2 linked regions of the Kluyveromyces lactis genome follow. The protein of the gene in region 2 interacts with the protein of the main gene of each other region in a pairwise test. Links are inferred from orthologs where the notes say so. Each region holds a gene or a part of one and is shown on either strand. Other genes may lie near its edges. The genes, in order: VIR1 and MUM2.

Region 1 (16,557 bases), about 360 kb from region 2:
CAAGGAAATATTTTCAAGTTGTTGATTGAACCATTCAACGTCAATATCTTTCTTCTCAAAGTTAAGGTATTCAAAATCGGACAAGTACTTCAACCAAATGGAAAATCTTGCCAAATTTATCTTACCTTGTTCATTAATGTAACCATCCATATGTTGGAGAGCTTCTTTAAAAGTTTGTAATAGCACAGGGAATGCACCTTTTTTCAAATGCAAATCGGGCAAATTTGGTAAGAAATCATTACCGATGGTAAATAATACAAAGATGAAATCATCTAATACTCTTTCAAAGTCGTATTCAAACTGCACAGAATCTGTTATTTCTTCGAACTCTAATGCCAAATATTCTCTCAAGATAGACAAATGCAACAAGAAGAAGTTCTGTGTTTCTAGAGTTTTCACAGAAGACGAACGTTTACCAAAAGTAACTTCTTCTCTTAATAAACAAAAGTGGTGATCATGGGTGGATAAACCTAGGATGATCAAATCAGCATCTAACCCGTAGATACAATGTCTTGTATTTGGATTGTAATCCTCTTGTGCTCTAATTGCTCTGATGTAATCCATGATCTTATGTTCACCTTCACCAGGAACCTCATGCCCGGAGAAAATAACCTTCACGTTCTGCCATCTGGTATCGTTGGTGATCTTGTCATGGATGAAATATTTCAAATTCTCGGTTAATTTTGCCATAAATTCTGTTCCTGGGGTAATAGCGTTGGAATCAAATGGCTCTCCCTTAGGCAACTCGTCACCATTTTCAATGGCCTTCTGCAAAGCCTTTTCGGCATCCATGGCAGTTCTGAATCTACGAGCTCTTTGTTGGTTCATCTTTGCTCTTGGGGCCACACCATCGATTGCCATATAAAATGTCTGTTTTGGTTTAATAGTATGGAAAAGATGATCAATATAACTGAAAATTTTGGAATAAACTTCTTCCTCTGATAGTCTTGAATTCACCTCGCTACCATCACCATGCGTACAATTATGCAAAATAGAATTCATATCCAAGTACAAATTGTCGAACTCTGGAATCTGTGATCCATCGATCAATTGAGAAATTTGAGGCCATCTCTCAGAGATGAAATGAAAGAATTTTGGAATACCCATTTTTAGTTAAGCCACAAACCGTAATTAATTGAACACTTTCTGAGGTTTGCTTTACTGACTTTTTTCCTCCAACAATAGAAAAGATCAACAACAACTGGGATTGGATAGTACCAGTAGTATACGTTGCCGAACAATGAGTAACCACTTTTAGTGAATTGTTATAATATACCCTGATATGGATGAAAGACCCTGAAAGTACATTAACCAAAGCTACTGTTTAGTAACATAATCGTTAAGGTAATTTGGTAATTCTTTCCAATGTTCAATCGGAATATTTTTCTTGGTGGTGGCAAAATTTTTTGAGACGAGGTTTATGGGTTACCCGGATCCATAAGTTCAAGCTTTTTTTTCTTGTTTTATACTCTTTGATGGAAGAGTTGAAAACATTTTGAATATGGAAACTGAGAAAGTAAACAGATGAGGTTAAAAAGAAAGATGGAGAGAGCAGAATTGAGACACCAATTGATACTGAACAGTAAGTTGAATTAACTGAATTTACGGCGTGTAAATATCTAATACTCTTATTACTGATAGAAACGAAATGTTTGGCCGTTCTTCTTCTACAGGTCCTCCAGTAGGACCAAGCACAGGAGGAGGATTATTTGGGAATACGGGCAACCAGCAAAGCACTAGCGGTGGTCTTTTTGGTAATAACAATGCCACATCAGGTAACACTGGAGGAGGGTTATTTGGAAACAATAACAATACAGCGACACAGACTGGCGGAGGATTATTTGGCAGTAATCCAGCAGGCACCAACAACAATACGAACCAAACCGCAGGAGGACTTTTCGGAAGTTCTAATAATACAGCCACTGGCTCCACAGGTGGCCTATTTGGTAACTCAGGAGCCGGGTCTGGCGGAGGCTTATTCGGGAATAAGTCAGCACAACCACAGACCACTGGTTTTGGAAGCTCTGGAACTGGAGGAGGATTATTTGGATCCAAACCAGCACAACCACAGACTACCGGTTTCGGAGGCTCTGCAACTGGTGGAGGATTGTTTGGATCCAAACCAACTACCGGAGGCCCATTCGGAAATCAACAACAGCAATCCCAACAATCTGGTTTAGGAATGTTTGGACAAACACAAAATCAATTTCAACAGCCACCACAACAACAGATACAACAGACTCAACAGAGTGCCATTAATTTCATTAACCAATTAGCTATCACGCCGATGACCAAGATATCGGAGCTTCCGATTCAAATTCGTCAAGAAATCGAACAATTGGACCAATTCATTAGAACGCAAGTGTCTTTATCCAAACATCTTGAAGCTGATCTACAAGATCAAACTGAACTATTGGATTCAATCCCTCGTGACATCAAGTATCTACAAAAATTGCATTTCAACGCAACAAGATCACTATCATCAGATTTGAAACGAATCGATGCCATCAAGACACTAGTGGATAAAGATGTTAAACAATTGGAAAATTTTGCTATAATGTTGCAACAACTAGTCAGTAAGGGATTCAAAATATCAAACGTTGAGATAGATAAGTTCTTCCAGGAAAAATTAATCACATACAAACACAAATTAAATGACTACAACGACACTCTAAGCAATATTGACGACGCAGTGTCAGGTCTAGAGAATGATCTCTTTGGGAACGATTCATCCGAAGATGATGATACCAAGGTCGGTGTTAACATTATCGTCAGCGTTCTAATCGAAGAGTTCAAACTATTCATGGATACAGCTGAAAGAATAGCAGAACTGCATCAGAAGTGTAAAGAAATAATAGTTAAATAGTCGATATTATTCTTTTAATACTATAAAAAAAGAAAGCGTTCAAGAACATATTACCTATTGATGCAGATCACTAACTCCTGCACATGCACTGCACCTGCACCGCATCTGCCACTTGTCTCTTCGCAGTCTTCTCTTCTCAGGCTCCCTTTATCTTCCCTTCCTTATTTAGGTCAATGAGTTGTGAAAAAAGGGAATTTGATACGACAAATATAAAAGGAATAAGGATTAAAAAATGGTTAACAAGGAGTAACAGTTTTCCCGGAAACGAAAATGTGAAACAAAGAACAAAGGAAAGGCGTCCTGGTTTTGTGATTATACTCAAGAAATATATATAGGACTGATAAGAATTTTAGAACGTTGCTGGCAACTAACTATCATTATTGGAATATCAGAGACATATTAAGTGTGACATTTTAGTATTAATTCTGTCAGTATAAACTTATTGTAGATCAAGCTTCAGGCGTAAAATCAAGGAGCTAGGAGATTTTTTTTTTGATTAAAGCGAAGCGATGGCTGAAGTAAAAGATAGATGTACATCAGTGGATGGAAATGACACTTGGGGGGTCGTTGGTGGTGTGGACGGTACATATTCCATCAGGGATCTTGACGCTGGTGAAATGGACGATATTTTATCGGTGACAAGCAGCGACTTAGAGGATTCCGCAGTGTTGCAGAATAAGAAAGGGAGCGTTAATCATAGTAACAATACTACGTCGTTATCCACGCCACTGGATTCATTATCCAACGTTGCGCCTGCAAAGACAACAGCAAGGAGCAATACATGGACAGCGCGCTTGACGAAACTTCAATCCGTTATTCTTGGAATTTCGTTGGTGGCCGGTCTCATCAACATGGGCCTCTTGACCGTTTTCATCCGTGATATTAACAGTTTTACTAAAAACAACGAGTTAGAGTGTAGTTCACTAGCTTTCAAGGACAGATTGGCTTGTCAATTTGATGCATACATGGGCCATAGGGCCCATGCATACGAAGCAGCATACGTGAAGAAAACGCCACTTCCATCCACTTTAGCATCATATTACCCTAGCTTCCCTTCTCTTGAGCAATATTACGAAGTATGTCAGAAGAAGTTGAAATTTACTTATGCAGCAACTTCTAACTGGGTCAGTACAACGGTGAGGCGTGAAAACTTCGAAAGCGTTAAGGAATGGACGAAGAATGCGAAGGAAACAGCAGAAGACCGGATCACTGCTTTCTACTCGCTAACTAAACAGAGATTCGATAGCTACAAGGAGACGCAATGGCCCCGTCAACGACAATCACTATTCAAGTTCAGAGTAAATTTACAAGCTGCTATCCATAGGTACCAGAGAAAAATGAGGAAAATGTACCCACTTGAATTCCCACATTTGCGCAAGTTTTCCGTGCCTAGGATTTGGTACAAATCCTCTGATAAGCTTCGCCACCAATACCATAAAATACTTGATCTCTTAAGGGTAAGAATGTGATGTGTGATTCAGGGTAAAATTTGATATATACCATACGTAAACAGTTTTTCCAGGATATATATGTATGTGTATTTCGTTTCTAAAGTATGTCTTCATCAGGCCTACAGCACAGAGGTTCTCTCCCAGTTATGACGGAACATCTTGGGCCAGATCATGTCTATTTCCCCGTCGCATGTCCGGGTAACAGGAGGGGTAATCGTCCAAAATCAGATTTCGGGGATGCAAATGACTTTCAGACCTTTTTAAAAAACCCAGGGCGTCCCGAAATGATAACTAGCTTATCAGCCAACACGTGAATTTCCCACGTGGAACCAAATACGCCGAACATGGATCTGCGTAATGTTAATAAGGTACCTCATCTTAAGTAAAACGAAAAGGAAATTGTTAGAAAAGCACGGTCTTTATCAAGAAAAGACCGTGCATGGTGCTGCATGTGGGTTCAAGTTCACGTGGTAATGATTGGAAAGTACTGCGTACTTTGTTGGGAATTAATTTTTGTTCTCTTCCACTCGAGGGACCACGAGTCATGAGCAAGGGAAAAACGTGTTTTATATATGCCAATCATAACGGCAATCTAGTGACATTCTTGGTAGGTTTCTAGTAAACCCGCTTGGCACATGTCTGAAGCCATGTAACAGTGTATAAATATATATATATATATGCATATAAAAAGCATTTTCTTTACGGGAGTTGACCAGCGGAGGAGACGTAAAAGGCCGTGGGATAAGATCAGCACACGCTGACGCAAATAAAAAGATAACATAAAAATAAAACCAAACATAATGGATAAGAAGATGATTTTACCACTACCCAAGAGCCCAAAGGAAATGGCAGAAAATCGAGGCAGAGCGACACTAAGTTGTAACCAATTTTCGCTTCTTCCATCCATTCGTAACTTAGTAAACTACACAGACACAGACAATTTCGATGATACACCAAGGACGTTACCTCCAATAACTAAACTCTCGATAAGTCCCCCGTTGACCATTGCCGATGAGAAAAAAGTAAAAGCTGAAAATAAGATAGACACAAGTGACGCAATATTTAGGCCCAGAGCCCACTCAGACTCTTCATGCTCTTCCACAGATTCATTGTCTGAGTTAGATTTCAAACAATTGCAAGAAAAGCTACTGCACGATAGACCAGAACCCGGGTACATCCACGAATGGAACCAAAAGCAAGGACGTGGGGCTCGTTACAAGAAGAAAATACACTGTAAGAAATGCCACATTTGCGGGAAAGAATTCTCTCGTCCAAGCACTTTGAAAACACATATAGTGGTGCATTCACAGGCGAAACCGTTCAAATGTACATATCTTGATTGTAACAAGAGCTACAATGTCAAGAGCAATTTACGAAGACACGAGAAGAAACACAAGTGCCACAAGTGTTGATTTTTATCTTTAACCTTAAAGGATAATAAGCTTTTGAACTTTTTTATACAAATCGTATACTACAATATGATGCAGAATGAAATACAGGTAATTAGGATGGTATATTTTATATTTACATATTTATACATATAAAGCACACAGATATGTGCATTGGTATATGTATATTACGGTAAATAAGAGCGAAGATCTCAGTGTCACACGACACATCCGTAAATAATGATGATACATGGCCCAAAACTTGTTTTGTTTCGAGGAGGGCCCAGACCCTGTTGAACGGCCTTGGGTGTTATCATAATCATTATTGTTACCCTCCCGAGAATCTTACAGAAACATGAAATTCCAGTCACCCAGCAAAGACGTACCCACTTTATAATTACGTACCACCATCATCCGTAACCCTTGCAAAGCCGCTTCAGAAGAGAGCAGCTCGGTAGCTGAGGTTTATCGGGATCAGGTTAGGCTGGCTGCCCATGCAACTCTTGCTCGCACGCTCATAAGAAGCTAGCAAACCACGTTCTTTTTTATAGCTATATATGGACAACAACCAACGTTTAATAATCAATAACCCACGTAGCCGTATTGCATCTAACGACGTATTGTTTCTCCTCTTACTGCCGTTTCTTGGGAAAAAATTGCACTTGAGTGTTTTTGCCAAATTTTTTTTTTTTTTTTTTTTGAATCATCGGTTGGCAGGGTAAAATTTCCGTTCTGATGGATTCTCCCCTCGAAATGATTAAACCATGATTCTTCACTAATTTAATTAATCTCCAAGAATAAATACATATACTATATATAAATGACGGTGTTTGCCAAGTATTATTTTAGCAGACCACTTGTTCAGCAAAGCTAAACAGACATTTAAAGAGAGAGCAGGTACGTTTCATCGAGGTATAGTGTTAGCTGGACGAGGGATTTGCGCTTATCATTGAAAGATTAGCAATTTAAAAATAAAATAACATTGCAGGAGAGGGATCAAGGTCTCCTTTCTAAAGTAAAGAAAAAGCATAGGACAAGTGCACATTTTTTAATTGAGAAATTGCTTCTTCCACCGCAGGAAACTAATTTATGACGATGGCCTCAAAGAATTTTGCTGCCAAGAGGAAAAGAACCAGGACTTTGGAAGGCATTAATGAAAGCTCGACACTGAGATCACAATATATGGATGGACACATGTCAGATCCTATAATGACGGCAGCTGCGGCCGCAGCCGCAGCCGCAGCTGCAGATGTCTCAACGTCTTCTGCTTCAAATACTGGACGGATGCAGAATCCGTTCATCGAGGAATTTATGTCATCCAACAACGATCCAATGACGGCAGATTCGTTAAGGGGCACGCTTCTGTTGGATGTTGACAGACAGGGCCAGAATTCAGGATCTTTTGTTACCGGTATCGCTGCTAATAATAGGAATAGTAAACAAAATGAAAACGGGAACGGATTTGATCTTGTAGATTTGGACGACAGTGCCGTGGAGTTTGTCAATAGTGTCAACTATACGAGTGCCAAAAAGGTAAAGAAGCAAAGAACAGTCTCTTTACCACAATTACCGCATGCAAGACTACTCTACGAACCCAGAAATACGGATAGGAGGACACAGAATGATGACGAGTTATTGCATGTCAGCGGTACTACGACGCAAACTGTTGATGGGAACAAGTTGATTAAATTGCCATTGATCAGATCTTTGTCTCCGGTACCTGTTGCTGATTTCAGATTGGGAAAAAATGGTGGTATGCAAAACAATAACCAGGACCAGAACTTTGACATCTCAAATTCTGCCTCGAAATCTCCATCCAGGTTCACCAAAATTTTAAAGAAATCTCCGCTATTGGGCTCCCATCAGGACAAATTACGTTCTATGGATAGATTCAAAACTGATGAGGAAGGTCATTATGTATACCAGGAGAATGACATTTTTGCCAAGAACAGATTCCAGGCTATGCAGCTTTTGGGACAGGGTACTTTTGGGAAAGTGGTAAAGTGCAAGGACTATTTAAACGATATCACTGTTGCTGTCAAAATCATAAGAGCTGTCGATAGATATCGGCAAGCTGCAAAGACAGAACTACGTGTCTTGCAGACTATAAAGGAAAATGACAGGAGTGGCCAATATCAATGCTTGCTGTTGCGAGAATTCTTCGATTACAAGAATCACATATGCTTGGTCACTGATTTATACGGCAGGTCCGTGTATGACTTTATGACAAACAATGGATATGCAAGGTTCCCTGGTTCCCATGTTCAAGCTATCGGTAAACAGTTGGTACGTTCTGTGTGCTTCTTGCATGATTTAGGAATAATACATACTGATTTGAAACCGGAGAATATATTGATATGTGATGAAACTTGCGTGGAACAGTCACTTCCAATGGAAATCATAGACTCTTTAACTGAAAGAAGGAAACTGGCTAGCGGTGGAAAGAGAAAAATACTCATAAATCCTGAGGTGAAATTAATTGATTTTGGAAGTGCTGTATTCTACAATGAATACCATCCACCTGTCGTTTCAACGCGTCACTACAGAGCTCCTGAAATTGTTTTAGGGCTTGGATGGTCTTTCCCATGCGATATCTGGTCAATAGCATGTGTATTGGTTGAGCTAGTTACTGGCGAGTCACTCTATCCAATTCATGAAAATACAGAGCATATGGCTATGATGCAACGTATCAACAATGAAAAATTCCCTAAAAAGATGGTTGAAAAAATGTTCTTCAAAGTTGAAAACAAGTATGGCAGCATCCCAACTGATTTGCAAACTTCAGTTGTAAAATATTTCGACAGACAAACAGGAGAATTAAGGTGGCCTCTCCGGAATTCAAAAGGTCAAGTCATTACCAAAGAAAAGTCATGGAAAAGAATTTTGGCAACATGTGACAGGCTGGATGTTTTTATCTCCAAAAAGTTACAAATGGACTATGGATCTTGGCTGGAGATTCACTGGGATATGCAGTTAGAGGACAACTGGCGTCTAATTTTATCAAAAAATATTGATTCCAGAAATATTGATAAGAACGTTTTCATGTTTTGGTATTATTTCGTTGATTTATGTCGTAAGATGTTTGAATTTGATCCAACGAAAAGAATAACGGCGAAGGAAGTGATTGAACATGAGTGGTTCAACATTGGGATTTTAGATGAAGGTATTTCACACTACGGAAGATTATAGGTAATTATGTTTTTTTTTCTTTCATTTCTCTTATTTTTTTATTTTTTCATCATGTTTGTGCAACATTAGGATTAGGGTCGAACTTATACTTTTCTTCCTTCCAATTTCTTCCAAGATTAATTCGCTTGAGTACAGACGGTTTTTCTAGCTCAAGTTAACTTCATTCTTATTCAATCTACTATTTTATTTTTTTTGTAATTATTATACTTTATCTACTGAATGAATTTTTTTACCTATCGTCTCATAATCATTTCGTTATTCTTTTCAAGGTTCTCTCCTAAAATGGTTGGTTATAAAGAGGGAGCATAAATCAAAATGGCGAGAGATCGTAAGGGTCCGTTGATCGCAGCATTCTATGATTTTATAATCAAATTTACGTGATTAAGATCTTTCTTACTCGAAATTTGTCATTTTTTGACGTTCCTGTCGTTCAATTTGCCGCGAATTATAGCGAGTTAGTTATTCAACGCTGCTCAAAATCATCAACATGTACACTTTTAGTCCTGCTATTATTGACTGCTCTATTATGCCCGCCTAGGATGTAGCTTTTGCCAGTATTAACAAGTTTCGTGGAGTTTACCTGATTGTATTGTGACACTGGAGGTGGGGAGCTCCAGTTCTGCACCATCTGGGCTTTTGATTGCTGATCGCTGTTAAACACTCCCGAAAAGCAATCTGCAAACGAAGTATTCATACCTGCAGAAACCCCGGATGTTGTTCTAACACTGACAGGTTTGAATCCATAGCTGCTGAGAGAAGGATGCACGGGATATTGTGGACTTTGTTCAATCTTCTTCGGTGTGCGGGTATGCATACTAGTATCTTGTGGAACGAAAGAGCTTGCGTTAGTGTTGAATTTTGATCTTACCTTAGGATGTGAAATGCCTTCCTTGGATGGTTGTTTCGTTTTTTCCATAAGTAGCTCAAACAAGTCACCAAGTACTACTGTTTTTCTAAGGATTTCTGGTTGCGGTTGCTTGAAGATTTCTGTGAAGAAAGGACTATACAATTTTGATCCATCATTCCATAATACGATGTAATCAAGCAAACCATGAGTTGTCAGTTCATTTGCTAAGCATAACTGTAAGATCCATTGTCCATCACTCTCAAAGAAGATATGGCGTAATATTATCATAGAGATGTCCTGAAAGAGCAAACTTTCTATGCTTACCTGGGACACAAACTTGATAAGATGGTACAATCCATTGTTCCCATGATTGTCAATGATACACTCAATTTGTTTAATAGATTGCCTGAATAACTGCTTTGCATCTACTAGAGCTGCTTCAGTATTCAAAAAAGTCCTACTAGCGCCGTCAGTCTCGAGTAATTTTTGGGATAACAAAAGCACTGTAAAAAGAGGAACGAAGTAAATTGTGAAATGCATTGATACTGTCTTATTTTGTACATCAGAAATGCAATTTGACATAGCTTGCGATCCGAGACATAGTGGATTTAAGCCAATATTTCCATAGTAGGTTAAAAGTGCTCCATTTAAAGATAAAGTGAGTTGCATACACTCAAAAATGTTACTAAAGTTCTCTTGAAAACTGTTAATCATTTGTCCTTTTTCAATCCTGTTGTCATCAAATCCAAATACTGCCCTAGATACTGGTGGAATCTTTGGACTCAAATCTTCAAACCATGCTGGGATGGCCAAGTTCGTTAATTGTCTGTACCAAAGGGAATTAGTTTCCATTTCATAACCGTTATTAATGCATTCCATTACATTAATACAGTATTTCGATAAAATATATTGCAAAAGGTTAATTAAAGACGGCAATGACTGCGTTGTTCCCATTTTTCCAAGAGTATGGTGCACTTCTGATATTTGATTTGACATGATACACTTTTCCCACACATGTCCCAAAGAAACTCTTAGTAACAGTAACAGATGAGATTCCTCTAAGAGTTCTAGTTCCGGATGATCGACAATCTCCATGATCACTTGCAAATAGAATTCTCCATTATCATGAAAGAGTTGTTCGAAGGTGTGATTGTTCATAGAATTGCTGGAAAAAGATATGACAGTTCCTTGCAAGTCTTTATTCAACCATTTAAAGAACTTTAAGGATCTTCTAATGAATTTGAGAGATAGATATTGTGTGGCTTCCGTCTTAATATTTAATAAGGCCTTCAACCTTCTAGGATAAACTTGAAAGTTTGCAATTGCCATATCCAATTCATGACGTTGCACAGTTTTAATTAGTATTCTTTCCTGTACCAAAAAATGAACAACGTCAAAATCTTTACAATTATTCCTAAAAGAGTCGATCCACGATTTCCAAGACGGAATCCATGAATTTAATATGACATCTCCCAAGTTAAGGTCTAAGAATCGCATTACCTTTGCATCCAATGTTTTGAAAGTCTGTAATTGGAAAATTATATCGTAGAACCCGGGAACATGATCTTTATGGGGTCGTAAACTGCAAGTCTTAAGGAATAATAAATTCAAATTAGAATTTTCTTCAAGTTGACTAATGAATTGAAATACAAGTGTTTGAAGTGATTCATTTACGGAACAATAAGTAAACGCTACTCCAAACAAATCAATACCTTCTTCAACGGCATCAACCATAGAAACAGAAACCAATAATCTGGACAATAAATTGTCACATACCGATTGATCGATACATACCGCTTGATTCCCGGCTACTCTTAATATTTCAAGTAATTTATACCAAACATTAATCCTGTGTAAATCGTCTGTCTCTTTAGCCGCCAATATCCGAAATAAGCCATCTAAATTCTGAATTGGTTGTAAACTTATTGAGGATATGCCATCCATCTTTACCAGAAAGAAAGCTTGCTTTTTTTTACAATCAAAGCTCCAAAATATGCCGAAGTAATGTCACTTCTGGCGTTCGGGATAATCATTACTTTATTTCTCTTGATTAAGATCCAAGATAAAACCCCTTAGTTTATATAGTTTCAGAAGATTCTTTTTTCTCAAGATTTAGACGCCCAATACTATGAGACAATAACGAAAAAAGGATCGAAAAATTAAAAAAGGGTTGATCAGTTCGTAGTATAAAGTAGATATGTTTCAGATTGTAAATGCTACGGCCGTACAAAGCAGCAGTGTATCCAATGTATACAAGGCAGGCAATTAGCACCAACCACTGTCTTGACTGTTCATTTTCTGCGGAACGACGAACATTGCTCTCGGTTAGGTAGGTATTTAGTATATAAAGTAGCACATACTTGAAGGGAAAATTGCACTGAAAAAACAAACCGTTTGAAAAATTAGGGAGATAATAAAGGAACGGTGAAAAAACGTGAGACACAAACATCACTAAGTAATCGAGACTCCGTATTTGTTAACGATGGGAGCCCGTGCGTTATTAGTAATTGATATTCAGAACGATTTCTTACCACCAAAAGGATCATTGGCAGTTCAAGATGGTGATACTATCATCGATCCTGTCATCCAGCTTTTGCAAGATCAGGATTGGGACTGTGTTGCCATGACTAAAGACTGGCATCCGCCAGACCACATTTCTTTTGCAAAGAACCATGGATTACCAGATTTCAGTTCATTCACCTACGACTCACCCGTTCCTGGGAGCACCGAGAAACAAAGTGCTACGTTATGGCCAGTCCATTGTGTCCAGGAGACATGGGGCTCTGAGGTTCCGGAAAAATTACTCGCTGAAATTTTAAAGCTCAAGGTGCCACATAAGATTGTCAATAAAGGTTACTTATCGGATCGTGAGTATTATTCCGGATTCAACGATATCTGGAATGATCATCACACTGAACTTGACGCCTTTTTCAAAGAGAATGATGTTACTGAAATCTATGTGGTCGGACTTGCATTCGATTTCTGCGTAAAAAACTCAGCAATAAGCGCTGCAAACCTTGGTTACCATGTAACTATACTCAAGGATTATACTAAAGCTATCGCAAATGATTTGCAATCGATTGAATCGTTCATCCAGGAATTGGCCAAAAATGAGGTCTCAGTTCAAGAGTCCATCTGATCTGGACATGTTATATGGACCGAAACTTCAAAACTATACACAAGACATATAATACCCGCTATGTACACGTCGACCGCTGATTGTATTTATGAACCCCTCTATGAACTCATATCATTGAACTGAACCCTGAATCCATTACTTGCCCTCTGCATCTTCTTTCTCTTGGTCAAACGACCGTATCGCCCGTCTGTCGATTCTGGCCAGTACAAAAGCTTTTTTTAGATTTTTTACTTCGCTAAGGTTGTATAGACCTTTTTTTTTCAGTTTTTCATATATAGTTTCATGCTGAAATCTCATCAAATGATTAACTACCACTGCAAAGAAAAACGCATTCTGTACATATATACATTCTGTACATATATACATTCGTATCATAGATCAAGAGGTGTAGGTTTTAACAACAGTTGGAGCGTGTGCGAAACATTAATTTAATTGGGTTTACTGTTTAGAAAATTGGTTTTTTCTTGCTGTTTGTTGTTTTTTTCTTCATTGAATGATAAAAAGTTCTTAGGGATCGATAGAGAGAATTAATCGTTTGATTCACAAACAACATCCCAAAAACATTAAATTTGTGGGCATTTTCTTAATTTTACAGGCACAATGGGGTTACCAAAGATTTCAAGAAGAACGAGGTACATTATTGTCATTGTGCTGATACTGTACTTATTGTTTTCTGTGCAATGGAATACTGCGAAAGTGAATCACCATTTCTATAACAGCATTGGCACGGTGCTTCCCAGTACAGCTCGCGTGGATCACTTGAACTTGAAAAACTTGGACTTAGCAGGTACGAGCAATAACGGTGATCATTTGATGGATCTACGAGTTCAATTGGCTAGTCAATTCCCCTACGATTCTCGAGTACCCATCCCCAAAAAGGTATGGCAGACCTGGAAGATTGATCCCAGTTCAAAGTCACAGGTTTCTTCCATTTCAAAATGCCAGAATGATTGGAAACATTTCAGTGCATCCGAGGAACCGCCATATCAATACCAATTAATCACAGATGATCAAATGATACCACTTCTAGAGCAGCTATATGGTGGGGTCCCACAAGTGATAAAGGCTTTTGAATCCTTGCCACTTCCAATTCTTAAAGCAGACTTTTTCAGATACTTGATCCTTTATGCAAGAGGTGGTATATATTCTGACATGGATACGTTCCCATTAAAGCCATTGTCGTCATGGCCATCGACTTCTCAGTCCTACTTTTCTAGTTTAAAGAATCCACAAAGGTATAGAAATTCCTTGGACAACCTTGAAACGCTAGAAGCTTCAGAACCTGGCTTTGTCATTGGTATCGAGGCTGATCCGGATAGAAGCGATTGGGCAGAGTGGTACGCCAGGAGAATACAATTCTGTCAGTGGACAATACAATCAAAATCTGGCCATCCATTATTGCGCGAATTGATCACAAATATCACCGCAACAACATTGGAGAGCGTGGCAAATGTTAAAAGCAGCATTCCTTTAGATGATGCTGAAGTATTAAAAGACATTGCAGATGATTATAATGTCAACATGAGGGATAAAAAGAAGTTCAACAAAAATTACAAACATCAACAAAAGAAAACCGCCAAAAATACAGATGGTACCGATATTATGAACTGGACTGGTCCAGGTATTTTTTCAGATGTTATTTTCCAGTATCTTAATAACGTTATCCAGAAGAATGATGACATTTTAATTTTCAATGATAATCTTAATGTTATCAACAAACATGGATCCAAACATGATACAACTATGAGATTCTATAAAGACATTGTTAAAAATTTACAAAACGACAAACCCTCATTGTTCTGGGGATTCTTTTCATTGATGACAGAGCCTATTCTAGTGGACGACATCATGGTACTTCCGATTACTTCTTTCTCACCAGGTATCAGAACAATGGGCGCTAAAGAAGACAACGACGAGATGGCATTTGTTAAGCATATTTTTGAAGGAAGTTGGAAAGACTGAAGATGAAAGCAAAAAGCGAACTCAGTGCAAAGAGACAAAATAAGCATATTACTTCATTCATTTCATTTGTGTATCTTTTTTTTTTTTTTTTTTTTTCAACATTTGTATTTATATTACATCTCATCTTCAAGTTCTATTTATGAAATTGTTTGCCTGTTATGGTCCTTAATTATTCTCCAAATCGAGAGAACTTAATCTACGGTTGTTGCTCTGAGATGCCGTGGAGATTTTTTGACAAACCCAGGTACTGGCATACATGTTAACTCTATCAATACATTTTCCAGGGTATCTTGCACTTACTGCTTTACAACTGAAGCCGAACTTTTCGAAGTTTTTGATATACCATGGGCTTTTAGAGGCAGATCTCAATAATACCCTACCGCGAGAGTTGAGGGCCAACCACAAAGCCTGAATTTCTTCGTCAACATCAGTTCCTTGTGGATCAAACCAATCCATGTGATCCATAATTATAGCAATCGAAACTGTTTTCTTCGACAAACGCTCACAGACATCCTTCAACGTGTCAGTATGAAGTCTAACTCTATCTAGAGGAGATTCAGGACTTTCACGAGAAAGAGACTTGAATCCACCCTCTTTTAGGTAATCAGGACAACTTCTACTCGAATATCTTCCCTTCAATGTCAAATAATAAAAGTAATTATCATCGGAAATCAAAGAATTATCAATAACAGGGTCCAAAGTGTCAATAATATATTGCAATGTTGAAGAGCCCATCATTTTTGCTTGATTACGTGGTACTCCAAGTGCACTCCATAAAAATAACGGGTTTCCAACGAGGATTTTACCCACTACTCTGTTGAAAAGGACCGGCTTTATCTTTTTATCCCAAATAGATCTTTGCTCCTCTAGGGTCTTAGCTTTGCATAGCATATTAACTTCATCTGTAAGATTTGCAACTTTGAATACCCATTTTGCAAGTCTTAATGCCCACTTTGTGAACCCAGTGTCATACAACCCGGCTCCATTAGGATCAAATGTTTTCGTTCCATTTTCGAACCAGTATTGAAATGCGTTTGATGAAAGATATGGCGCCAATTTATTCAGTAAAATATTGTTGAATCTATCAATCTTACCTTCACCAAACATTTGCCACAACTGTGTGAAACTCAAGCTTCTAATCGCTGCTAATTTTAATTCTGTCAAATGTCCTTGACATGGATTTAAATCCACCCCATGAATTCTCTTCGGTGGATTAGGCAAAGTGGCATAGTGCAAAATATTATCACCAGCACTGGTAATAGCCAAAATGGTATCTTCTGGTTGAATATTAAGAATGTTAACATCTTCTCTAGGATCTTCCCATGTGAATGCGTATATATAACTGTTCTTAAATTGGCTGTACTCAGGGTTCACTTCATCATAGTACACTCTCCAATGCTCCTTTTGATAGAACAGAGAAGGATATGGTAAACCTTTTTTAGAATTTTCTAGTGCTGCAATCATAGCTTTGGTCATTGGCTGAGCGTTAGAGGAAGCTGACGTGGTTATAGGTGCGAGGTATGGAGATGTTGGTGCAAGTTCAACAAATCTAGCTTGAAGATGTTGTTCGTGGTCTTTATTGCAACCCAACCAAATGTAGTAGGGAATTTTACCAAGCTTGTAGTTATAACAATTCAATGATTTGATTGTCCCGAATCTATATTCAAGATATTCTCTTCTAGCTGGATCCAAAAACACTTTGTCGAATTCAAACC
Region 2 (15,063 bases):
TCGCAGGTGATCATGACTTCATATCAGGAGCCGTTTTCCCGGTTCTCTTGTGTTTGTTTTTGATGTTTTTATAATATGTCTACGAGAATCACCCAGGAAGCATGAGTTAAGCCTTGCTTTGTTCGAACTCTTTATTAACTCTTTTCACTCTATTGTATAATACGACATCATCGTGGGTAATAAAATCGTACAAGACTTTACACCAGGAGGAGTGCTTTGGCAGATGATTATAAAATTCCGGACATAAACTGTTCAATTCCCAAAGTCGGGACCAAGCAACAAATGGGAAATCATGATGTTCATTGTGTAAACCGACATTCCAAGTGAAGAAGTTTAGAAGCCCATAATAAGAATACGTCTCCAATGCGTACTTTTTCCTGAATTCGACGTCTTCTCTTGAGACGTTTGATTCATCAGTGACGTTAATTGGTTGTCTTTCGGCTGGCGTTAATTTTAGCATCAGTTTACCACCGATGATAGCTTCTTCAATGTTCAACAGATAGTGTTCTGCAATGAAATGGCCAGAGCATGGATGTAGAGAACCGGCTAAGAATGAGGACATCAGGAAATAACAGTATGAATACCAACCAAAATTCGCGATCCATATAAAATTGAACATAAATTGGTACAACACGTTCAAAAGGTGGATGTAGGTGAATTTGATCCTTGTGACAAACATAGGTCTAAATGCGTAGAAGAAGATTTGGAATGTGGCAAAGAACGATTTCCCCAAGATATTGGATAAAAGCACAGCCTCAAACCTGGTAGGGATATCCGTGTCATAAATTTCATCTCCAAGAAACTTGTGATGCAATTGATGATATGGTCCAAATGACGCACTGTATGGGATACCAATTGGGGTATTTGTGAAAATGGCAAACAACTTGTTGTGGACAGGTTTCTTAAATGCTAGGTTGTGAGACAATTCATGGATTGCCAAGAAGATATTCTGGTTAGCGGTAGCACCGATGACATATGCAATGATGAAAAATTTCCAAGTAAAAGGATGGGTATTTCTTAAGTAATAGGAAAGCGATAACTGAAGCGACACAACACCAATGATAATCCATTTAGTCAAAGGTTCGTGGCCCATAAGTCGCTGCACTTCTGGATGTTTCTTAATTATGGCATGTCTTCTTATAGCATGGGGTTCTTTATGTGCGGACCAGTAGAAGTTATCAAGAACTTTAAAATCCTCATCTGCACTTGGAACGTCGACAAATTTCTCAGAGACTTTCAAATCTCTATGAACAATTGTCATGTCTAAGGGTCTTAATGAAGCTCTCTTCTTGTTAAGATAGCGATTCCGATGCTATATCAAAACTTGAAAGTAAAACAATGCCGATAAAAAAACAGGAACCGGAAACACGCTTGACAAAAATACAGTTCTTGATCCTTGATTCCAAGCCTGCCTAGAATCTTATTATTGAGTTTGATACTGATATTCTCAATGTAACCACACCAGTTGGATCAGGTATAAATCCTATGTTTATGCGTGACTATTTAAAAGAACTTAAGCTTTTAAAATTTAAAATCTAAAATCCTTAAATCCCGAAAAAGAACTGATCTTATGATGTGATAAATTCAAACACATACACAAACCTAAACGCAAGCAAAGCCTGCTAAGAAATGTGGTTTATACTTAGAAAGAAATCTGTAATTGGAATTACAATATATCTTTAAACGAACAAAAACCATGCGATGAGATGTTGCTGTTCCGTGTGCTCTCGAGCGATAGAAAGAAATTTTTCATTACGCTTTAAGGGAAATGGGAAAAAGTACGGTCACGTGAAACAAAGACACAGAGAGGGAACGCCCTGTTCTAACATCAGACACAGGGTTGGTGGTACCAAGGGCCCCACCAATATCTGTTTAACCATTAAATATGCAAAACTGATATATTTCGATCCAATCCTGACATACTCTAAATCATTTCAAATGTCAAACGATGTGACAAACCGCTGCAAGATTATGGTTCAATCTTATACAGGATTTGCTTCCACCCCGGATGAATGCAATTATACGCGTACATAAGTTCTGTACCCCCTTTGCTACCGACCTTAAATTGCTTCGCAGTTTGGCTATCTTGTCTTATTATCCCCTTTCAAGTTGGAGAATTGCTCAATCCATTAGGTACTGAAATTGTTCAACAATCGTAGTAGCTTTTTTTTTTTGGTCACTCACTATTCTCCATCTGCTGAAACAAATTTGAACCTGAACATTGAGTGGAACGAACTTGACGAGAACAGAAGAATGGTAGCAGTCTCCCTTTAATTGCTGCATACTTAACTTACGTTGATATCTTTGACCAAATATATCTATATATACCGAGATCTACAGCGTCTTATAATATCCTGGCGGGTTATCAACATCATCTATTATACCCATTTTTACCATAGCATTCCATAATGTTGAGGCATTCCTATTGTAGAGCACAGCAACAGTCATTGAGACACGTTTTGAAGACCAGATTGGCTGTTAATCAATTAAGATTTATGTCTGAAGTTAAGTTTAGAGTCGATTCCACTGCCAGAGTGGTCACTTTGGATAGACCAAAGAAATTGAACGCATTGGATGTTGAGATGTGCAGTGCCATCTTGCCCACATTGCAAGAATATGCCAAGAGTACCGTTAACAATGTTGTTATCTTGAACTCTTCAGCTAGTCCTAGGGCCTTCTGTTCAGGTGGCGATGTAGCTCAAGTAGCCAAGTTGGTTAAGGAAGGAAATTTTGATTACGCTAGAGAATTTTTCACCAAGGAATACTCGTTAAACTTGGCTCTAGCTACGCTGAACAAGCCGGTCATCTCTATCATGGACGGTATCACCATGGGTGGTGGTGTCGGTCTATCTACTCATATTCCATTCCGTATTGCTACTGAAAATACTCGTTGGGCCATGCCTGAGATGGATATTGGATTCTTCCCAGATGTCGGTGCCACTTTCTCTATTCCAAAGCTTACCACTGTTGGTGGTTCCAACGGACAATTGGCTCAGTACTTGTGCATGACTGGTGACATTTTGAATGGTGCCGATGCTTACGTGGCTGGTGTCGCTTCTCATTATGTGCCACATGATCAGATCTCCAACTTACAGGCAAGATTGGCTGAGTTACATTTGACTGAAGCCACTTCTCAATCGACTAACCGTGATGATGAAATTTTCGATGTTGTCAACCATGCTATTGAGGAATTCAACGCACCATTACCAAGAGACTACAAGTTCAAGTACACTGCTGATGAACTAAACGTCATTGAACAGTGTTTCGATATCGGTAACAGTTTGAAGCAAATCTACTCCAAATTGGATGAGGTCATTGCTGGAAAGACAGTATCACAAACAGCTCAGGAGTTTGCTGCAAAGACCAAGCAAATGCTAGCTAGCAAATCCCCTGTTTCTTTGGAAATCGCAAAAGAACTTTTCCAAAGAAACTCCTTCACTGACATTCAAACCGCCTTGACCCAAGATTTGATCACTGCTACTAAAATGTCAGAATCTCCGGACCTATGTGAATTTGCTGAGGCCACTAGTCATAAATTGCTAGAAAAGAACAAGACCCCATACCAATGGAAGATCAAAGATTTGAAATTAGCCCAAATATCAGTTCTAATCTCACAAAACTCCTCAAACCCGGTGTCGTTGATCCGCCCATCAAATTTAGTTACTTTCTCTGAATACCCACATCATAGCAAGTACCAATTACCAAACGAAACTCTAGTTGAGAAATATATCACAGGTGCTGACAACCATGGAAGACAAACTGCAGTTACTAAGAAGGAAGCTGTCAAATTCTTCCAACAATTGAACCCCGCCACGAAGAGTAAGACCGGCGTAGACTACTTGGTAGGTTTTATTATTGACAGAAAATGTGTTCCAAACCCAGATGGTTTCTTAAGATGGAAAACTTCCTCTGCTAAACTATAAAAACTATACATTTCGATTATATAGTACATCGAACACTTGTAAATACACTTACGATTAACCTACACGCAATAAATTTCATTATCCTCTCTTAGAATGGCATTGTTCTTCGGCAGTACATAAGGGTGCCATAAGTTAAATACAGCTCTAATTGATGCGTTCTACTTTAAAACTCGTTCATCTACCTAATTCTTTGTTATATTTTCCATAATTACGGCATGGTTTAAAATTTGAAATTACTGGAGTTTGATCCTTTAAAATGAGTGTGCAAGAAATAGAACATCAATATATAAGAACAAAGCTCCACAACGCATCATATCTGCCTTCAAATTAAAGATGTCTGGTTCTGATATCCTTGATATCAATGTACCCAGGGTCATTGATACAGATGACTGTGTTTATTGTTTTGAAACGATGAAGAATAAAGATGAGGGTCGTGAACATTCATTATTCATCTGTCTACGCTGCTTTCAGTCTTTCTCCGAAGAGCATTGGGAACTACATCAAGAGGTTGTTTTGAGTGAGACTGGTTCTACCCATGATCTGTATCTCAGAGTATTCAAGGTTCTAAAACCAAAACAAGAGCGAGAAGAAGCTGGCACGCCACCATTGGAAAAGAAATTAAAGCTTGAGGTTAAGGATGTGAATGAGGATGATCTATATGATACCCACTGGCTGCTTGGATCTGTGGAACATGGAGAATTGTTATCTTCAGACACTCCATCTATTCCTAAGGAATGGAGTGACAAAATTAGTGAAATCTTGCAAACAAAATCCTCATCATATCAAGATATGTCAAATACCTGGACACTTGAATTAAAGTCATGTCCACACATACAGACTTTCGACTTATCGAACTTGGAGAAGCGAGAAGGTGGCATTTCTCAAAGCTGTAACGACTGTGGTCTTACTTCTAACCTTTGGTTATGTCTCCATTGTGGAAACGTCGCCTGTGGAAGAGAGCAGGTTGGGATAGAGGGGTACTCTCATGCTTTGAAACATTATGAAAGCACAGATGGCCACGCTTTAGCGATAAAATTGGGCTCTTTGACAGCTGATGCAGCTGATATATACTGTTATTCTTGTGATGAAGATGTGAAATTCACCCATAATCTGCAGTTGCAGGATATCTTGAAGTTTTGGGAAGTCGAAGTACCAGCCAAGTCCAAAGAAAAGACATTGGTGGAATTGCAAGTGGAACAAAGTCTGAAATGGGATTTTCAAATGGTAGATTCACAAGGTAAAAGTTTAAAACATCTACAAAATGGTCCTGAATACGGTTTGGGCTTATTAAATTTGGGCAATTCTTGCTACCTAAATTCTGTATTGCAAGTTTTACTTAACGGTGGGATCAGAAATTGGAACCTAGATGGATTAGGATCCTTTCCTACAGATGTCGTCTATCCAAGAACGAATTTACACTGTCAACTAATCAAAATCAGAAATGCTATGACCTTACAGCAATCCAGATATCCTGAGGGTATTAAACCCACCACTTTCAAAAAGGTTATTGGGGGCTCGCATGAAGAATTTTCCTCTGGAAGACAGCAAGATTCCTTGGAATTTTTTTCCTATCTCTCTGATAAATTGGATAGAGAGATATTTAAAAATACTACTACCAATCCAAACGATTTGTTTAGATTCAACATTCAAGACAAGATTAAATGTGACAATTGTAACAAAGTTAAGTTCATGGATCAAGTTTCAGAAGTCATTCAGCTTCCATTAAGAAAACTAGACGGGGAGCAAAATCTAATTGACAGGTTAAATGATTACTTCAGTGGGGAAAAAATTGAATACCGTTGTCTCACCAATAAGAAAATTAACACTGCATCAAAAGTACCAGGGTTCTCTAGTTTCCCACGTACACTTATCATAAACCCGATTAGAATTGAGTTAATCAACTGGCAGCCAAGCAAGACATCAGAGCAAGTTGTGGTACCTGGTGTACGCGATGATGCTTTACTAGATATGTCCCCATTCAAAGCTACAGGAATTTGCGAAGGGGAAGAAGTCGAAGAAGAAGAGGAATCAGATTCCTTCCAATTCAACGAATTGTTCCTAGGACAATTAGAACAGATGGGATTCTCTCGCAATGCTACCAAAAGAGCATTATTTGAAACGGGAAACTCTGACCCTAATGCAGCCACGGAATGGTTGTTCCAGCATATGGAGGACCCTAACTTAAACGAGGCCTTTGATCCTCATGCTTCATCCTCAGCGAAAAATCGTGTCGATTCAGAAGCACTAAACAGTATGACTGCTATGGGGCTTGATTCGAAACTATGCCGCAAAGCTTTGATATTGAAGAATGGTGACGTCAATGCCAGTGTAGAATGGGTTTTCTCCCATATGGATGACGACGGGGAGTTACCTGAAGCTGAGGAATGGAAGGATCAATCCAGAAAAAGTTTTGGAATCCCAGCATCGTCAATTGCCTCTGCTAAGTATAAACTGACTGCTGTCATATGCCATAAAGGTAATTCAGTTCACAGTGGCCATTACGTTGCATTTATTAAGAAAGTGGTCGAAGGAAAAGAACAATGGGTTCTCTACAACGATGAAAAAATTCTCTTGGCCAACGATGAACCAAATTTCGAGGACATAGAAAAGAATGGCTACATGTTTTTCTTCAACCTTGAAGAATAAGAGGCATCTCCTCTCTAAATAAAAGAGACATGCATCACAACATGAAACTCTAAAAAAATAGGACTTGCCCACCTTCCTATCTGCATTGGGTATTCAACGATATGGTTGTGTGTCCATATATACATATATATCCTCGTACATGACTCAATTCAATACAGTATGGTGGGCTTATTCCTATTTATAGCGGTTCCTGTCTGGAGGCAGTTGTGTCCAGCCATTGCAAGTCACGTGAATATGCTTCATGATTCCCTGAAAATGAAACATGTCAGATCTGCCCTTAAAAATAAAGCAAACTAGATCAATTATTTACCAGTGACAGAACACTTGTTACCAAGTAAGTAGTCACACAATCTTCCAAAAACGATCAACAAACCATAAGTTATTTTAAAACCATGAATTCAAACGGATATATGTCTTACGTAAGTTTTTGCATACATTGGAGGATTGCCTACATGACACATTTTTAATCAATACTGTTTCTGTCTGTCCCTGTTTTCTATGAAACATGGAACAACCAAATTGAGACTATAAATGTTTCTAACTCATAATTAACCTTTTACTAACAGGTCAATGTTATCGTGTAGCAACCTGAATATAACCAACAGAGTTTGGATAACTCTTTCGCCAATCTGAATTTTGGTAGTTCTGACGAGTCCAAATTGTATGGCACAACCGCCAATGTCATGAACTCCAGCATGGCACATGGAGGTAGCTTCAGCTTACATGGGAACATTGATGGTATGGGCTCCCACTATAACCAAGGACTTCAGGGCCATTTGAGCGGATCTTCTACTCATAGGAGCAGCATGTCATCATATTGGGAACAGCCGCTCATAGAACAACATAATTCGCCCGAGATAGAGTCCTCGAGAGGCATTTCGTCAAACACGCATCCTGGAAGCTCTTCAAATAACACGGTAATAATGGACAGATCATCATATGCTAAAAGCTCAGGATTCAATACCACTTTCGACTCTGAAACAGAGCCATCATCAGACAACTTCAAACTTGAACTACAGTTGAAAGAGACACAGATAGAATCGTTAGAAATAGAGATAAAAAAATTGAAGGAGGTATTCAATCAGGGTTTGACTTTCAAGCAGCAAGAAGAGCAGAAAATGAAGAAATCAAAGGCTCTTACTTTCGATTCTGAAATCCAGATACCGGCATCCCTGGAAATAATATTTTGTAAGTTATCAGATTCATTAAAGAGAAAGGACCAAGAATTACAAGAAACAAAAAGACGACTAGAAGGAATAGTTACAGCGGTTGCGCTTAACCCTTCAAATTCTACTACAAAGTTTGGTAGATATGACGAAGAAGCTTTAGCACATAAAATGGTAACTCGATTGGAAACTTTAATGAAGGAAAACGAAGAAATGGCAAAAATGCTTAGTTATGGTCGAGTGAAGGAGACAAGTATCGAGCTCGAACTTTTACGTAAAGAAAACCAAGAACTCAAAGAAAGACTAAGGATTCTACAGCAAGAAAAGTAACACCAAAGTATAAGATCTTGATCCTTCTTTTTCTGATATTTTTGCTTTTTTCTGCCAATGACATTCTAGTTGGACGTTTTATTTGACGATCTAAAAACTTTCGAGAGTAATTCAAGATACATGTATGCTATATAACATCTACCTAGATTAGGTATACTTTGCTGACACACAAAAATGTAAATGAACCATTGATATTTATTTCATCCGACGTTAGAAACTTACGATTAGAGAAACTTGAACATACAAAGTGTAGACCTTTATGTGAAGTAATTTTAGTTGATTAAATAAACTGTATGCGGACTTGTCCTTGTAATATGTACATGAGGAGGCTCGGAAAATAAATATTGGTTGGCCGTTTATTCTTCCAGTTACCTGAGTTTGGCTATCTTTTCAAGAAGTGATTGTGTGTTTAAGAAGATTATGAGGTATTACAAAAACGATGCGGGAAAAGTGATTGTTATTCAAGCCTTTGAAAGAGCTCTTCTGTTTTTAACACCCTTTGCCAATAATCTTAGAACATCTTCAGTTGTTTCCCAACCGATACAGGCATCGGTGATAGAACATCCGTAAATCAACTTTTCACGGCCACCTTCTGGAGGAACGTCTTGTCTACCTTCGACTAAGTTAGATTCGATCATGACACCACAGATAGCATTTTGACCAGCTGATAGTTGTTCGTAAAGTGACTGAGCCACCTTTGGTTGATTTCTGAAATCTTTCTTTGAATTCCCATGAGAACAATCAACCATGATTCTTCTTTGGACACCTTCAGCATCAGCAACCTTTGCCTTGACCAATTCGGCTTGCGTCTTTTTTACGTTTTCAGCATCGAAATTAGTTCCAGTCTTACCACCTCTTAAGATAACAAAGGTATCTTCGTTACCTTCTGTTCCAACGATGGCAGTGACACCAGGTTTAGTAACAGACAAGAAGTAATGTGAGTGTGCAGCAGATCTCATGGCATCAACAGCAACTTGGAGACCACCGTCAGTACCATTCTTAAAACCAATTGGGAAAGAAAGACCAGAAGCTAATTCCCTATGTAGTTGAGATTCAGTGGTTCTAGCGCCGATAGCACCCAGAGAGAAACAGTCACTCAAAAATTGTGGAGAAATGGTGTCCAACATTTCACCAGCGATTGGTAATTTTTCAGTCAATCTGGTGAACATCTCTCTAGAAATTCTTAAACCTTTGTTAATTTGGAAAGAATTATCGATATCTGGATCATTGATCAAACCTTTCCAGCCAACAGTGGTTCTAGGTTTCTCCAAGTACGCTCTCATAATGATTAATAGATCATCGGATAATTCATCAGAAATTTTCTTCAAAAGGTCTGCGTATTCGTAGGCAGCCTTTGGATCATGAATAGAACATGGCCCAATAACTACAACTAAACGGTCGTCCTTCCCATTCAAAATGTCACATACTTTCTCTCTAGCTTCAACGATGATCTTTTTGGCCTTTTCACCGATGGGATATTCATGTTGTAATAAGTCCGGTGGGGTCAATGGATCATATCCCTTGATTCTCCAGTCTTCTAAACTACTTCTGTCCCCAATATGATCGTTAGTGATGAACATTTTTTACTACCCTGTTTTTACCGCAATGGTGGTATCAGTGAATGTCTTCTTGCCTCTATTGCTCTTCCTTTGGCAAATGGAAAAGAGTGGATGGCTCATCGAAAAGTGTTGTGATGATGTTCCATCCAATTTTTTTTTTCACTTTTTGTGCAAAGAAATCATGCCTATATACATTTCTGGAAAAATATTATGAGTAACAATTTGAAAAGAAAAAAAAAAATTTCCAGTAACGACACAGAGTTTTGCCGAACCAGAAACAAGGTACGAATATTTATCATAGTCGCAGGGTGAAGTACCGTTGCTTATACTTTAGGTGCAACAATTGAAAAATTTTGAAGTTTCAGTAAAAAGTACAGGTTAAATTTGTGCAATGTAATGTGTATTTGGTTCAAAGTTGGAGTTAGTTATACTGAATACGTCGGAAAAACTGCATGGCAACGGGTACTGCCCCAGGAATAATAAGTTTTGTGTCACGTGGTATGCGAGAATTCACCATTTATATCATTTCAAGGTTTTGTATTGGCCATAGTGTCTGTTATAGACCGGGGTCATTTCAAAAGCACATTTCCTGCCATTGACCATTTTTATCATTCACGAATCAAATTCATATATATGTATGGATATAGGTTTGTATGCACAGATTAGTTTCTAGAACGTGGCTATTTCTTCCCAACATATCGAACAGTAATAATCGAAGTTCATTGCGGGATGGGCAAAAGAAGAATAGTCAATGGTATATCACTCAATTGCCCATGTTGTTCATTCATGTCAACAGTTTGCCTTTGGATCGACTAAGGACCGTTAAATACAGAAATATATTAAATTGTTCGGTGATGATATAGAATGATATAGATTACATATAATACAGGTCGCTCTAAATACTGCTTCAATTATACTATTAACGATAGATTGAACAGCAGTGTACTGTGCGGTGATACATTTATTTTCATTTTTGTTTGTAGTTTTGTGTTATTCAGTTTGGATCCATCTTTCAAGAGAATGTTCAAGCATTGATCTAAGGCCCGCTTAATATAGAACAGCATAACTCGAACAAGCAACAACACATTAATGCTTTACAACACGTCCCGCAACACCCACTGTCCTGTCTTGGAGGAGCTTGCTGAACGTATACCGGCTGCTGAGGCTGTTGGTAGTACATTGGCTGTTGTTGTTGCTGATACACTGGTTGTTGATAGTACATTGGCTGTCGATGACGGCCCATTGTTGGAATTGTATTGTTTTATGTGATTTCCTAGATCTGCTTGCCTCTTTGGTTTGCTATTGAATGGATTAGGACTCCAACCGAACCTCTTCTCGACACTAAGTCGTCTCGTCAATACTACTTATATATATATATATATATATATATAACATGTAGGTTACGGCTGTAATAATGTTTCAAGTTCTAATCATAGGTATTTTCGATAGCTTTTTTCGAATGTTTCTTTTCTCCTCATTCGAAAGTTCTTTCTAAGCCTTGCGCGTCTGTGCACAAATCCTGCAGAAAGACTGAACAAGTGCACATCGGCAACTTAGCAGTAAAGGCTGAAAGATGAGTTCAGAAGCGGGATTCATGGTTTATTAAAGTTAGGCTTAGTTGTACAAACAGTGTAAGTATGAAATATGACAGGAAAAAGGAAAAAAAACCACTTGTTGGGTCATATTAGGGTCATATTAGGGTTAAGATACATTCGGACCCTCTGGTAATAAAATGCTGTTAAAAATAACTTACTGCGCTATCAGCTGACAATCAGCTATTTTTTTTGAAGTAAAGTATTTTACGGTAAGTTTGAGGGAAGTTATACCCCAGAAGATAAATCAATGTCATTGACATTTGCCATATCTAGTTATATTCTGTCCAAAGTTATACATCAGATGAATCGAAAGATCCAAAAAAAAAACATCCATGTGTAGTACGCCTAATAATGATTGAAGTTGGCTATAGCTTGATCAAACCCTTGTTCCCATTCCCACATATATTCTCCATCACCCTTACTTTTTATATACTGTACTCTTCTGAAATATTTCCAAGCACAGGTTCTTCCTAAGAGTGAATTGTTAAATGTCGTGAACGATTCGATGTCCTTGATTGTATTGCGAAGAGCGTCCTCAAATCTCCAGTGTTCCATCTTGTCACCACCTTTGTCAGCCCAGTAGTTTTTGTGGTCTTCAACAAGTTTATTGATTGCACCATTGTCGGGTTTCTTCCACGTCGTGGGTCTGTTTGGAATAGCGCCTTTATTGACCATAGGAATATATCCCCATTCTCCTCCATCTCCAGATTCAAATTGAAGAGTCCAGAAGAACCATCCCCAGGATGCCTGCCTCTGGAATATACTTGTCTGTGCTTGTCCATATTTCTTCACAAGATCATCTCTGTTTCCGGAAGTCTTGTCCCAGCTTTGACCATCAATGACACAGGAAAACTCAGCTACTGTGAAATCTGCCTTAGACCTGTCAAATTGCACTGAGGATGATAAATCTTGAATCAATTTTTCAACGTTCTTGGCCTTGTCCGAATCGCTGAAGCATCGATACACATGTGAGTCGATTATAACGTCGGTGAATAGTTTTTTTTCCTGAACCCAGTCAGACCACTGTTGAGGCCACCAGCCATCTGAAATAACCACCGGTAAGGTACTGTTGATAGAACGCACTTTTTCGACAGCCTTTTCATAATAAGATTTTTGTTTCTTACCGCTTTCATCAAATTGAGCTTCATTGACAATTTGCAATCCGATTAAATTTACATTTGATTGTAGATCTTGCACCACAAAAGGTATAACATTATCAACGATTGATTTGACGAAACTCGATTCATCAAAGAAAGTAGCAGAACCACAGCTTTGTTCGCCACTATGGGCATCTCCATTAGCTCCGCCTGGTAATCCATGTAAATCCAATAGAACTCCAATTTTATTCTCATTTGCCAAAGAAATCACCTTTTTCACTCTGTCCCATGGTTTCGACTTGGAATAAACGTCCTTCAAGCTATAGAACTTCTCGCCATTTTTCAATAATTCACCATTTTTGACATGCCAATATCCAACAGGCAACCTAATCGCAGTACACCCAACTGATCTTAACCAATTCCAATCTACACGATTCAAATATGAATCATAATGATCAGATAATTTTTTGGCAGTGTCATTTGAGTTGCTTGCTTTGACCTGGTTTGTGATAGCATCAAATTCATTACCACCACCAGCAGAAAATAGACTATGGAAGATATATTGCTCTAGTACGAACATTGATCCGAAATTAACACCATAATTAGTTCTGTTCTGATAGAAAATTCGTTCGTCTTTCAATTCACCTGGTTGAGGTAAGTCCAAGAACGTTACTTCTCTTGATTTATTCAAAACCTTCTGTTTTAGCTTATCGAACATGATTGGCTCTTTAATATTTGAATACTAAATTATGCTTCAAGACAAGCATCCGATATGTGATCCCTTCACAAAAACAAATATCTCTTGAACCGAAGTATCCGTTACATTCAATGGTCTTTATAGGTTTAACTTAACTTAACTTCAACTTCCTCTACTTTTCCAACACGCCTCATCCAAAGGTGTATAAAATTCATCAGTAGCAAAGGTTTGGCTCTTTTAAAAGAAATATGTCATAAAATGCAAGGTACTATCCAAATAAAAGCCCTTTTTTTAAAGAAATGAAATATCTGTAGGTGTTTCTATGTAAAAAGGATTCGTAAAAAAGGTCTGTCAGTTTGGAAAATACAATACTCAGCGAAGCATTTTTGGAATACGTGCATACCCCCACAGGAGATTAGGTAGTGGGACAGAGCTATTTAAATTAATCGACAAATATCTAATAGGAGGGAATTTATTTTGAATTGCAGCCCTTTAATTTAACACGATGAAACCTAGATTAATATTGCTGATCAGACATGGTGAAAGTGAATCTAATAAAGATAAGAAAGTGAATGAACACACTCCAAACCATTTGATCCCGTTAACGAAGAATGGGAGATATCAGGCCAGAATGGCCGGTATAGAAATTTTGAAACTGTTGAATGTCGACGACGATTCGATCACCAAGGATATTGAGGCTGAAGAGGATTACGTTGAAGATAGACCACAACTGGAGCAAAACTATCAAAGGGTGAAATCCACTAAGGATACGGATCTAGTATTTTACACCTCTCCATACCGTAGAACCAGAGAAACATTGAAAGGGATCATTGAGATGATTGATAGATACAACGAATTGAATTGCGGCATAAGAGTATGCGAGGGGGAAACGTATCAACCTTTGGGAACAAGAAGATTGGCACACTGGCAATGCCCCGTGTTTCCAAGTGCAGTGTTCGAAAATAATGAAAGCGTAACGAATTTTAAACTAATTAACAATACTGAGACCAATCCGAGTCTTATACATGAGGAGAAACATTTCCTTCACTACCGTGTGAAGGAAGAGCCTCGGATTAGGGAACAAGATTTTGGTAATTTCCAGAAGACTGCATCGATGACCGAGGTGATGAATACAAGAGCTAATTACGGTCATTTTTTCTTCAGGTTCCCTCAAGGTGAATCTGCTGCAGACGTTTACGACCGGTGTTCAGGGTTTCAGGAATCGTTATTTCGCCATTTCGAGAAAAGTGGAGGGAAAAAAAGGGACGTGGTAGCTATTGTTACACATGGTATATTCTTACGCGTGTTCTTAATGAAATGGTTTAGATGGACATACGAAGAGTTTGAATCATTAACTAACGTTCCGAACGGTAGTGTCATCGTGATGGAATTGGATGAAAAGGATGACAGATACGTATTGCGGACAACATTGCCCAAATGGTGCTGAGGGAACGAAAAAGTAAACATTATTTGTAGCATTCATATCCAAACGTAATGAATTAATAAAATAAACTGATTTTAACCACTGAGGTAATATTTATCTGGATAATTGTGAGTGCTTGAATTACCTTCTATCTCACGTGATTTGATTCTATTGGACAAAAAGGGAAAGACCCTCCTGAGAGATTAAAATAATTACCCGGATCTAAGAGATTTCACGTTAAAATATACATCTCCTTCCGAGTACTCTTAGCTTCCACTATTTTAACGGGGCTATTCATGCGTTCCGGGTAATGAGGTGTTCCCGGAGCCAAAAATCATCTTCCTTTATTTCGCATCCTATAATGACGAAATGCAAAAACACCATGCGGGCACGAAGTTGGGCTTCTTCTTTTTCCGGCTCACAGAATAGGACGCTGCCGATTGTCAAAGTCAATCAGTGTGCTGTCTGACAACCTGATAGTTGGTTCCATGGTTTTCAGTAACATACGCATACCTCCTGCTCACTTTGACTATAGGAAACAGACCATGGTGATTTCCATTCGATAATGTTTCTAAACACTTGAACTTTCATGTATTCTTTCGAACCTTCTTCGTATTTTTGTTTTAT

What was found.
Region 1: the proteins of MUM2 (region 2) and VIR1 interact in binary tests that used the Saccharomyces cerevisiae proteins (3 or more experiments, as listed by UniProt). The link is inferred for Kluyveromyces lactis from reciprocal best matches to the Saccharomyces cerevisiae genes MUM2 and VIR1.

What each region holds. Positions count from the first base shown.
Region 1 is NC_006042.1:2,075,785-2,092,341, reverse strand, and holds VIR1 (Vir1p), read right to left. Parts: upstream 11,686-16,557; coding exon 9,358-11,685; downstream 1-9,357. Other genes in the region: chromatin-binding exonuclease XRN1, read right to left, coding at 1-1,107; FG-nucleoporin NUP49, read left to right, coding at 1,649-2,866; KLLA0_F22341g (uncharacterized protein), read left to right, coding at 3,376-4,335; KLLA0_F22319g (uncharacterized protein), read left to right, coding at 5,118-5,729; serine/threonine protein kinase KNS1, read left to right, coding at 6,795-8,894; PNC1 (nicotinamidase), read left to right, coding at 12,224-12,880; OCH1 (initiation-specific alpha-1,6-mannosyltransferase), read left to right, coding at 13,481-14,842; KLLA0_F22198g (class I SAM-dependent methyltransferase), read right to left, coding at 15,008-16,557. UniProt on the Saccharomyces cerevisiae protein: Component of the MIS complex, a complex that mediates N6-methyladenosine (m6A) methylation of meiotic mRNAs and is required for initiation of meiosis, progression through the meiotic divisions and sporulation.
Region 2 is NC_006042.1:1,714,482-1,729,544, forward strand, and holds MUM2 (Mum2p), read left to right. Parts: upstream 1-7,252; coding exon 7,253-8,065; downstream 8,066-15,063. Other genes in the region: KLLA0_F18656g (sphingolipid delta(4)-desaturase family protein), read right to left, coding at 107-1,261; EHD3 (mitochondrial 37S ribosomal protein mS47), read left to right, coding at 2,409-3,923; ubiquitin-specific protease UBP14, read left to right, coding at 4,257-6,569; 3-deoxy-7-phosphoheptulonate synthase ARO3, read right to left, coding at 8,527-9,645; KLLA0_F18766g (uncharacterized protein), read right to left, coding at 10,661-10,867; MRX18 (17-beta-hydroxysteroid dehydrogenase-like protein), read right to left, coding at 11,565-13,034; acid phosphatase DET1, read left to right, coding at 13,519-14,460.